Drosophila melanogaster: one gene and its partner. The protein of the gene in region 1 interacts with the protein of each later gene in a pairwise test. Each region holds a gene or a part of one and is shown in the gene's direction. Other genes may lie near its edges.

Region 1 (5,220 bases):
TGTACATATTCATGTATGTTCATCCATACATACTTACGTACATACATTTGTCGTCGAGTCGTTTAGCTTACGTGTTATCGCACTTTATCGGCATATTTTTGACCTCAATCTTAGTTTATTAAATAAAGAGAGTTTTTGGGTGAAAACAAAAAAGGTGTCAGGTAGGGCTAAAATCATTTTTGATTTTAAAAATTTAAGGTAATCATTTAAGGGATATGAACAAGTATAATAAAACTAGATTAAATGCAAGTGCATTTTCTTCAGAATTTTCGACGGGCCTCTTTTATTTTGAAATATGGGCTATTAAACTAGTTTTAGGTCTAGAATCTAATTTGTTTTAAATTATATTGCGAACATTTTATAATACCACATTATTAAGAGAGCTACTAGAGCTACATAGATACAAAGCTAATAAATGGATCTAAAGTAATGCCAGTTACGAGAATTATTTGCCGTAAAATTTAAATTAAAAGCCAAGAATTGTTTTACGCGTATTTCGTAATTTTTTTCAAGCGTTTTCGCGCGCAAAGTTGGGAATGACAGAGAAGGAAATAGAGAGAGAGAGAGAGAGAGAGAAAAGGAGAGGAAAAAGCCTGTTTGTATAATGTGTGGGAGGGAGAGGGGAAGATGCAGAGGAAGACAAGAGTAAGAGCGAAAACAGGTTTTTCATGTTGCACAGTCAATTTTTGATATATGGTGAAATTGATTAAATATAGCCAACATCCAAATCGGAAATGTAATTAGCTAAACTCCTTATCGTATATTCAAAAACACGTTTGAAATGTTTAATGTGAATGAACGCCAACTAAATAGTCTTTATTACATTGCTTGAATACCCAAAATATAAAACAATTTAATTTATTTTATTAAATACAATAAACTAGCTAATCATTCTCTGCATAAATGTACATACATACATACATATGTACATTCATTTAGCCAGTAAAACCTGAGCTAAGCAAGTTGGATCCTTTGTTAATCATGTTGCTATTTTTCAAATTTATATTCAAAAAAAAAGTATTGAACATTATAAAATTGTGAACTTCCCTTCTCAAAATATTTTAAAATGTGAGAAAGTAATCAAGCTTTGTCTAAAAACTCCCTTTTTTCTACTACCTTTTTAACTCATTTAATCCGCTCATAGAATATACTCCCATTTATCATACTCTTTCTACTCCGGTTTTTTGGCCTCTTAAGAACGCTTGCTCTCCCTCCGCTCTCTTGTTTAAACAAATACAAATCAAAACCGAAAGCAAGAGCAAAGTGCAATAACGAAAACCACAAGCAAAGAGTGTTGTACAATTGCAGTTTTTGTTTTGCTTTAGCGTTCGCTAGGCAGCGCAGTCGGATATACTGCCTCTTCGCTACTTCTGATGAGTTTTCTTCTTCTTCTGAATTTACCTGCTCGACAAGATCTTTGTGTACCCACACATACACGCGTACACAGCCTGCCCACACACTCTTAGTTGAAACGAGAAAGAACGTTTTGTAAGAGTACCAACTGAGACATACCCTTCACATTGTTTGTGCATCTAAATATGTACTTTATGTTGTAAGTAAATATGAGTTATAAAATAGTGTTACTTCAGCAATTAGTGCGCTGGTACAATATTTCAGTTTTTTCAGTATGCGAAAGCCAATCAATTAAATTTTTACAACCTTAAAATCTAGATATGTTAACTATGCTCCTTGATGCATTTATGTAGACGCAATTCATGGTCCGAGTATACTCTTCCTCACTCAGCTATTACAGGGTAGGTAAAGAGCGGGATTTTTTAAAATATTTTTTTTCTCTCAAGTGTGCCTCCTTCATGCACGTGCATGTGCAGGAGAGGGAGCGAGAGAGATTGCGATTGCACTGGCTGCGCGCCTACGCTGCCGCTCTGCCGACGTCGCGGTAGAGGCTCTGTTGCCGTAGTTTGAGGCCCCAGTGCGAACAGTTCATTTTTAGCCGCGGAGCCAGTAAGACGTGTTTCCTGCCCTCTTTCTTTGAGTCTGCGACACGTTTTAAGTGCTCTTCCATAATTGACAACAGCAAAAGCAAAGAATAAAAAAATAACAAAAAATAAAAAACGAAATCCATCGTGAACAGTTTTGTGTTTTTAAATCAGTTCTAAACACGAAAAGGGTTGATGAAAAACGCAGAAGAATCCGAAAAACTAACTAACCGAGCAAAAACTTGACTTGAGTGTTGTTTGACAAATCAGGAAAGATAAAAAACAAATCATAAGAAAAAACTGCACGAAAAATGAAAAAGTTTCTAATATTCAAAATCTTGCACAAGAAATACAAAATCAATTAAAGTGAACTCTAACCAAAAGTTGTACACAAAATAAAAAGCAAAACAAAGCAGCGAAGAACAATCACAAGAAGAGCAAAGTGCCAACAAAGTGCAGGAAGGAAGGAAGCGGATAAGGACAAAAAGGAAGCCAGCACACACACACACCCACACAATGGCCGTGCCCTTTTATTTGCCCGAGGGCGGCGCCGATGACGTAGCGTCGAGTTCATCGGGAGCCTCGGGCAACTCCTCCCCCCACAACCACCCACTTCCCTCGAGCGCATCCTCGTCCGTCTCCTCCTCGGGCGTGTCCTCGGCCTCCGCCTCCTCGGCCTCATCTTCGTCCTCCGCATCGTCGGACGGCGCCAGCAGCGCCGCCTCGCAATCGCCGAACACCACCACCTCGTCGGCCACGCAGACGCCGATGCAGTCTCCACTGCCCACCGACCAAGTGCTATACGCCCTCTACGAGTGGGTCAGGATGTACCAGAGCCAGCAGAGTGGTAAGTCTACAAAGATCTCAATTCTCCACTCTTAAGAACTTTGAAATTGTGTGGGTTAATCAGGATATCCATTTAGTTTACCTCAAATACATTTGCAGATACAAAAATAAGTTTCGATTCATATACGGTTATTAATTGCGAAATGTTTAAGAAGTTCCCACACAGAATAACTGCTTACGCATGTTGGTAATATATTTTCTAAAATGCTTATAACCAACACTTTATTTAAGCCCACTTGTTTTGCTATTAACAAGAAGGATTTTCATAGGATCTCCTTGTAAAAGTAAACAAAAAATGTTATTAACTTGAAATTGCTTAAAGAATAGTAAATTTATTTCTTTCGAAAAAACAGCATTTTAAATGTTTGAAGATATTTTCAAACTAATAGATTTGATCAATAAAAAATGGCGAACAATTTTTTTCTATACAAGCGACTTTAAAGGTTTCATATTTTTGATTACCGCTTTTAATATCATTTAGTTTAGTTTAAGAAAGTTTCTGGACAGCCGGAGGGTTTCCCTCATTTTAAAATGGGTCAGCAATTAGCCAAGTTGTGACGTTATTTGTTAACTGCTTCAGTTCCCCTTGTGCAAGTTTCACTTTTCAAGGTTGTTGATTCATCCAGTTTCGAGTAACTGCGTCAACTGCATCCAGGTTGTTTTTGTTTACTTTTACCCAGTTTTTTTTTTATTTTATATATGGTCAATTCAGCACTTTGTCAGCTTATCAGCAAAAAAAAAAGTGTAAAAGGCAGAGCGGAAGGCAAATTTCTCGGCCACATTCGAAAGGAAGCCGAAAAAACGGTAATTCAATAAAAATTAATCGAACAAGTTCAAAAAGGGGAAAATTGAGAAGTAATTGAGAAGTTTCGATTGGAGGAGAGAGCAAACTTAATAAACGAAGTCACAAAACTGCAAAAACTCAAAATCATGTGGGGAATTACTGGATCAAATTCCCAAAGTGGGAATCTTACAAATTAAAAAATTTTGTATTGAGACAAAAATCTACTTATGTTATAAATAAATGAAAATAAAGTAGAAATGGTGATAACTAGCTCGATAAATCACATTAAGATCAATTTCCTTCGGTCATGATTATCTAAACTAGGCTGATAAAACTTTTAGTGTGCTATGGCTTTAAGAAAGAAACGCCGAGACACATGCAAGACAACTGCCGAGTTGGCTGTCATGCGATATTGTTCGTAAATATGGTCAAAAAATTGGGCGTGTGCTGGACCAGCAAGAAAATAAAGACCTGGCTGAAACCAGGGAAACATAACCCAGCGGCAATAAAACAGAGCTGGGAGCACAGAGCTAAGCACGTTTAATTGGCACGCGCCAAACTCGAGTCGAATGTCTTACTTTTGAGACTTTTGAGTGAGTGTGGTGTGCCTGTGTGTCTGGGTATCTGCAAGATATCTATCTATCTCGAGCGTACTGCTCGTATATCTTACCACTCGACTAACCCAAATTATTAAACGCCATTTGACCTTAGGCAACTAGTTTTCCGATTTTCCAAAAGGGGGCCAAACGGGTTGAGGGTGTGGGCCATTTGCAAAGTGTTTGACTTAACGGTTGTTTAAGTAGCTTTTGTGCTCGGCCACGTTGAGTGCGGTCAGTTTTTATTGTTTTTCTTTTTTTTGCGCGCGCGCTTTTCATGTTTGCTTTGCGGTTTTTCATTCGCGTTCCTTAATTTTGTGTTGCCTTTGCATAATAGATTTTGTCGCTGTCGATGATTGCCAGCTGCGCTCTTTGGTTCCACCGAACAACCGAATTGTTACTTTATATTATTTTGCTGTTTTATTTGGTTTGTTACCTTTTTTGCTGTCAGCAACAGTTGGTCAGACGAAAAAAAAGCGTTCCCTTCTCGAAATTACAGTGAGTCACTTTTGGGCGCTTCAATCTGTTTTCGTCTATAATATCATAATTTATACAGAGATACTTTTTTTTCGCTTACGAGAGCTGATGCCCAGTGAAAATTCGATTGCGGGGCATTTATTTTGAAAAACGAGCTAAAAAGACTTGACGTTATCGTGAAAGTTTCGATTTAAAAGTAATTTTCCCTTATCTCATTTTCCCGAACCACATCTAAGCCCCTACTCAACGCACGCCGATCATGTACTTTAGTTAGCCACTCAAGAGGATAATTTATCTAATCGTGACACATCCCGAAACTAGTGAACAATGCTTGAAGCCCTTGAAACAAGAAAGGGATAAACTGTAGTTAACCAAGAAGCGAGAACCCTTTTTCCTGGTTCCCCCAGCTATGCCATACATACACACATACATGCAAGCCAGATTCACGGAATACTTTTAGCCAGAAACGCGCTTAGTCATCAGCCAGCTATCAACCCTAAAAGCCTAAAAATGCGAGGCGCAAACAACCCCGACAAAAATTCCTAAATACCAACAGAGCTTTTCCCTACCAAAAGCAAAA
Region 2 (5,191 bases), on another chromosome or scaffold:
ACATTTGTTTCTGCTCCGCCAGCAGCATACATCCACATCCCTATGCCGCCAATCCGAGGCGCCAACAACGTGCCGTAAAACATTTTCACACGGAGGACGAAGCGGCCAGCTCCTACAAGGCGGTCAAGCGCGGCAAGAAGAAGTAGTAGAAACGTGATCATCTGTATGCCAACATCTTCCGCATCGCACACTCAAAAACACTAGGAAGCAAAGCGTTGGGTTCTGTTCCATAGCAGGAAAACCAATTCAAATATTTTTTAACAAACACAATTCTTTACCAGTTCTGTCTTATCCTGCGTGAGTCGACCAGAATGCAACACTAAAAAATGTACAACTTCAAGATGCTATTGATGTGCACGCAGGATACAGAACAACTTGCTTAAATTTACTTAAAACAAATGTGACTATTCAACGCCGAAATCATTACAACACACACTCTCAGACCTAATCGAAAAATTCAATGAAAGTAATGGAATATATATGAAATCGTAATTATAAGTTTGAATTATTTGATTAATTCTCAAGTTTTTAGATTTTGTTAGCCACTAAGCTTTAAATTATGGATGCCAGTTAGCGTGCAAATGAACACAATTGATTTGAAGGCTCCGAACGATAGAAAACAACAATTACCAATTCCCCAAATACATGTAATTCGTAAGGCCTAAGTAAATGTTAACGTGAATTTAATTAAATGGTAATTACATTATAATAGTAAATCCAGTGTTCTACTTATGCGACTTATAGAGAATTAAACGTATTAACTAACTAGTCCACCATCTCCATTTGCGTCTCCTCGGATTCCCGCCAAATGCGCTGCACCATCTCTACCAGCTGCTTCCAGAGCGCCGTCTTACGCAGGAAGTTGGCAAGGCAGACGAGAATAAAGGCCCAAGCCAGGCCCAAATAGTAATCCGTCTGCACAATGGGTTTATTAGACAGCGGCTCCATCTCTGCGCGAGTGAGGATGATCGGATCAATGGCCTGCGGATTCACAGTCTTCATATTGGTGTGACTCATTATGAAACTGGCAAAGCTGCTCTTTGTGTCCTTCCACCCGGGCTCGAATTTGATTAGCGGCCTGCCCTGGTGGAATAGCATCAGTGTGGGCAGCGAAACGATGCCGAATTCTGCATTGAAACGACCAAACTCATAGGCATCCACATAGGCGATGGGTAGCGTGGGAAAGTAATGGGGCAGCACGTTGACCATCGAAGCCACACGAGCGCACTCCAAGCTGGATGCGGTGCAGAAATGGACAAGTACACAGTTGCCCGGCTCGTGGCGCTTGGTGGCATTGCCCATGGGCTTAAGCAGATTCACTATATCCTTGGCACTGCGCATTATCAGCAGTTCCGGCTCGGATGCTGTCTCATTCTCGATATCCCGCTGCAGGCACTTCATCATAATAGGTGGCTTTCGAACCGGAGGCAGCTGGTTTAGGTGCATGATGTGCTCGTCATCCGGGGCACATGTGTGTCGCTCCTTCAGCAAGGTTTCGAAGCTATAATGGCACTGGCCCCGCGAAACTCCCAGGGAATACACCGTCAAATTTGAGAAGAGCCCGAAATACTGGAGGGCACTTAGTAATCCGGAGAGTTCCGCCTGGCCCTGCGCGGCGCAGAGCACTGTGGAAGTGGTATAATGTTACTGATTGAAGAACTCGATATAAATAAATAACGTACAAAATACAAACAAGAGATTTTGGTTCATTATATCGTTGGTTGGACAGCTGTTGAAATAGTTGGCTGTTATATGGCACTCGTGAAATACCTGGAAACTTCTTAGGTTTGGATATACCGAATAGCAAGGTAAACTGCTTGACCTTGTTTTTGTAAGCAGTGCCCATTAAGTTGGTATTTCATCGATGAAACATTGACGATGTATCGAAAAACATCGATGCTTATTTTTACATCGCTACAATAAGTTTATATTTTTACCTTACCTTATTTTCATTTTCGTCTGCGCTCGCTGGTGATTCCCTTGGTGGCATTACATCATTGGTGGATCCATTCGGATCCAATTTAGAAGCGCCACGATGACGGAGCTGGGCATGGAGCTGGAGAGCGTTCGCCTGGCGACATTTGGGGAATGGCCCCTGAATGCCCCAGTTTCCGCGGAGGATCTGGTCGCCAATGGTTTCTTTGCCACGGGAAACTGGCTGGAGGCCGAGTGCCATTTCTGCCACGTGCGCATCGACCGCTGGGAATACGGCGATCAAGTGGCGGAGCGCCATCGCCGCTCCTCGCCCATCTGCTCCATGGTTCTGGCTCCCAATCACTGCGGCAATGTTCCCAGGAGCCAGGAGAGCGACAACGAGGGAAACAGCGTAGTGGACAGCCCGGAGTCCTGCTCTTGTCCCGATCTCTTGTTGGAGGCCAATCGCTTGGTAACTTTCAAGGACTGGCCGGTGAGTACCCTGAGCTGGTGTCGCTCGCTTCTGGTGATTCACCATAGCGGGTCATTGTAATCACTATAGTTTCAGTTTCAAGCTCACTATAAGTGCATATGTAAGTATGATTGCGTAGTTAAAAAGTAGCGTAAATGAGGCCAGGAAAATCCCGGTCGAAAGTATCAATGATATTTTTGTATACAAACAAGAAATGTCTTGTTAGCTGCCTCAATTCAGCTGAATGTTGATTGATAATCCTACGAAATTAAGCTTTAATTAAGATATACAAAAATCATTATGAACTTCAAATGAAGTTATTGTATACTGTATAATTTCAAATATTTTTAATGACTGAATAAGATAGTTTAACTTTAGCCCAAAACGTCTTCCTTTGTAGAATCCCAACATCACGCCGCAGGCTCTGGCAAAGGCAGGTTTCTACTACCTGAACCGTCTGGATCACGTGAAGTGTGTTTGGTGCAACGGAGTGATTGCCAAGTGGGAGAAGAACGACAATGCCTTTGAAGAGCACAAGCGCTTTTTTCCCCAATGTCCTCGTGTGCAAATGGGCCCCCTTATAGAGTTTGCCACCGGGAAGAACCTGGATGAGCTGGGCATCCAGCCCACCACTCTGCCACTGCGTCCCAAGTACGCCTGCGTGGACGCCAGATTGAGAACCTTCACCGATTGGCCCATTTCCAATATTCAGCCCGCTTCGGCTTTGGCGCAGGCTGGCCTATATTATCAGAAAATAGGCGACCAGGTGCGCTGTTTCCACTGCAACATTGGATTGCGCTCCTGGCAGAAGGAGGACGAGCCGTGGTTCGAACACGCCAAGTGGTCGCCAAAGTGTCAGTTCGTTTTGCTGGCCAAGGGTCCAGCCTATGTAAGCGAAGTGCTCGCGACAACAGCTGCCAACGCCAGTTCCCAGCCAGCAACTGCTCCGGCTCCAACGCTCCAAGCAGACGTACTGATGGATGAAGCTCCGGCCAAGGAGGCCCTAGCCTTGGGTATCGATGGAGGAGTTGTGCGCAATGCCATCCAGCGCAAGCTCTTGAGTTCCGGCTGCGCTTTCTCTACGTTGGACGAACTATTGCATGACATCTTTGACGATGCGGGCGCAGGAGCTGCACTGGAGGTGCGCGAGCCGCCGGAGCCAAGTGCTCCTTTTATTGAACCATGTCAGGCCACCACCAGCAAGGCAGCATCTGTGCCAATACCGGTGGCCGATTCCATCCCAGCCAAACCACAGGCAGCTGAAGCAGTGGCGAATATATCGAAAATCACAGACGAAATACAAAAGATGTCGGTGGCCACGCCGAACGGAAACCTATCGCTGGAGGAGGAAAACCGCCAGCTAAAGGATGCACGCTTATGCAAGGTATGCTTGGACGAGGAGGTTGGCGTAGTGTTCCTGCCCTGTGGCCACTTGGGTAAGTCGCTGAACTATACCTTGATTGCCTTGAGCTGTAGCTAACTTCCTGTTAACCCGACAGCCACCTGCAATCAGTGCGCCCCCAGTGTAGCCAATTGTCCCATGTGCCGCGCAGACATCAAGGGATTCGTGCGCACGTTCCTTTCGTGAAGTGCATATCGACATCATTTAGAGTTCACCAGCCTAGTTAGCAGTTAAGCAAATCGATTGATTGCACCCACACAAACTACTACAGCGAAGTTCAAATTATCCGGTGATTAGCTAATATAATCGTCTACTAATCGTCTACTAAGTACTTGGCCAACTGCAGCTATTCGTTTTTACATTAGCTACGGTTGTAAGTTGTCGTTACTAACTATCGCATTGTGTCCGAGCGCATCCCTTTTGAACCATACATTATGCACGCTGAAATGACCTTATATAGATGAGCAGCTCTAATTCGCGCTGAAAAGGGTATCAATGCACCGGCACGACCGCAGATCACATGGATTTCTTGTTATAGTACTCTTATTAACACATGTATGTATTTTTGTTGATCATGTTTATAGGCCGCTGATAGTATGGTTTACACACAACTATATGCATTCTCCAATAAATGTATATGTAAATGTTAAAAAATTTGTCTTTTCAATTGCAAAAATTCTTTAAAATAATTTATTTATTTTGCTAAGTTTTAAATCCCAACGGTCTTCAAGTGATGTGCCCCGAGAGATTAGCCTATTAGCTTGCAACAGTCTGATTCCACTGCTCACAACTATCTCGATATCATCGCCATGCACGGTTCGATACTATCGATAGTAGCATCGATGTTTTGACGGCTCTACTCAAAAGTACCAAAATATTGGTATCCAAGCAATCGTTTTCAGCTCTCCGCGTGAAGTCGTGTGCGCTGCTCGTAAGGGAGCTCCATTGAGTTCTGGTCGCGAAAAACTAACAAGCTCCAACGCCAAGAAGTGCAGAAGATAGTGAACAAAATTTAGAAGAACCGAACCGAAGCTACGGGGAATTTTATGTGTGAAATCGAAATTACCAAACGCGCGCTCGTGTGAGTATATTCTGCGAGTATTTCAAAGGAAGAGTTCAAGTGTGTGTGTGTGTGTCTGGTGTTGCTGCTGCATTTTACGGAGTGTGGGCGCTTTATGCTCTTTATAGTGTGGTGTGGCAAGCAGTGGCCATATCCCCCCGCTACACCAGAAAACCCTTACAGTCCGCTACCTTTCCATTTTGGAATCTTCTTCGAAAAACACTTTTTCGTACGGTGAGAAACAAAGCGACGCACGCACACACACGTTCAGCGAGCGTTGCTTATCTAGATTGTAAGAGGGAGGGAGGGGAGAGAGAGCGCGACACGTATCTGAAAATCTCAA

The links.
Region 2: the proteins of hid (region 1) and Diap2 interact in binary tests that used the Drosophila melanogaster proteins (3 or more experiments, as listed by UniProt).

What each region holds. Positions count from the first base shown.
Region 1 is NT_037436.4:18,182,356-18,187,575, reverse strand, and holds the start of hid (head involution defective), read left to right. Parts: upstream 1-1,934; 5' UTR 1,935-2,453; coding exon 2,454-2,784; intron 2,785-5,220.
Region 2 is NT_033778.4:15,931,415-15,936,605, reverse strand, and holds Diap2 (Death-associated inhibitor of apoptosis 2), read left to right. Parts: upstream 1-1,780; 5' UTR 1,781-1,808; intron 1,809-1,888; exon of another isoform or gene 1,889-2,025; 5' UTR 2,026-2,035; coding exon 2,036-2,407; intron 2,408-2,786; coding exon 2,787-3,822; intron 3,823-3,885; coding exon 3,886-3,974; 3' UTR 3,975-4,436; downstream 4,437-5,191. Other genes in the region: Mlf (Myelodysplasia/myeloid leukemia factor), read left to right, coding at 26-146; bug (bunker gear), read right to left, coding at 766-1,625, 1,683-1,710.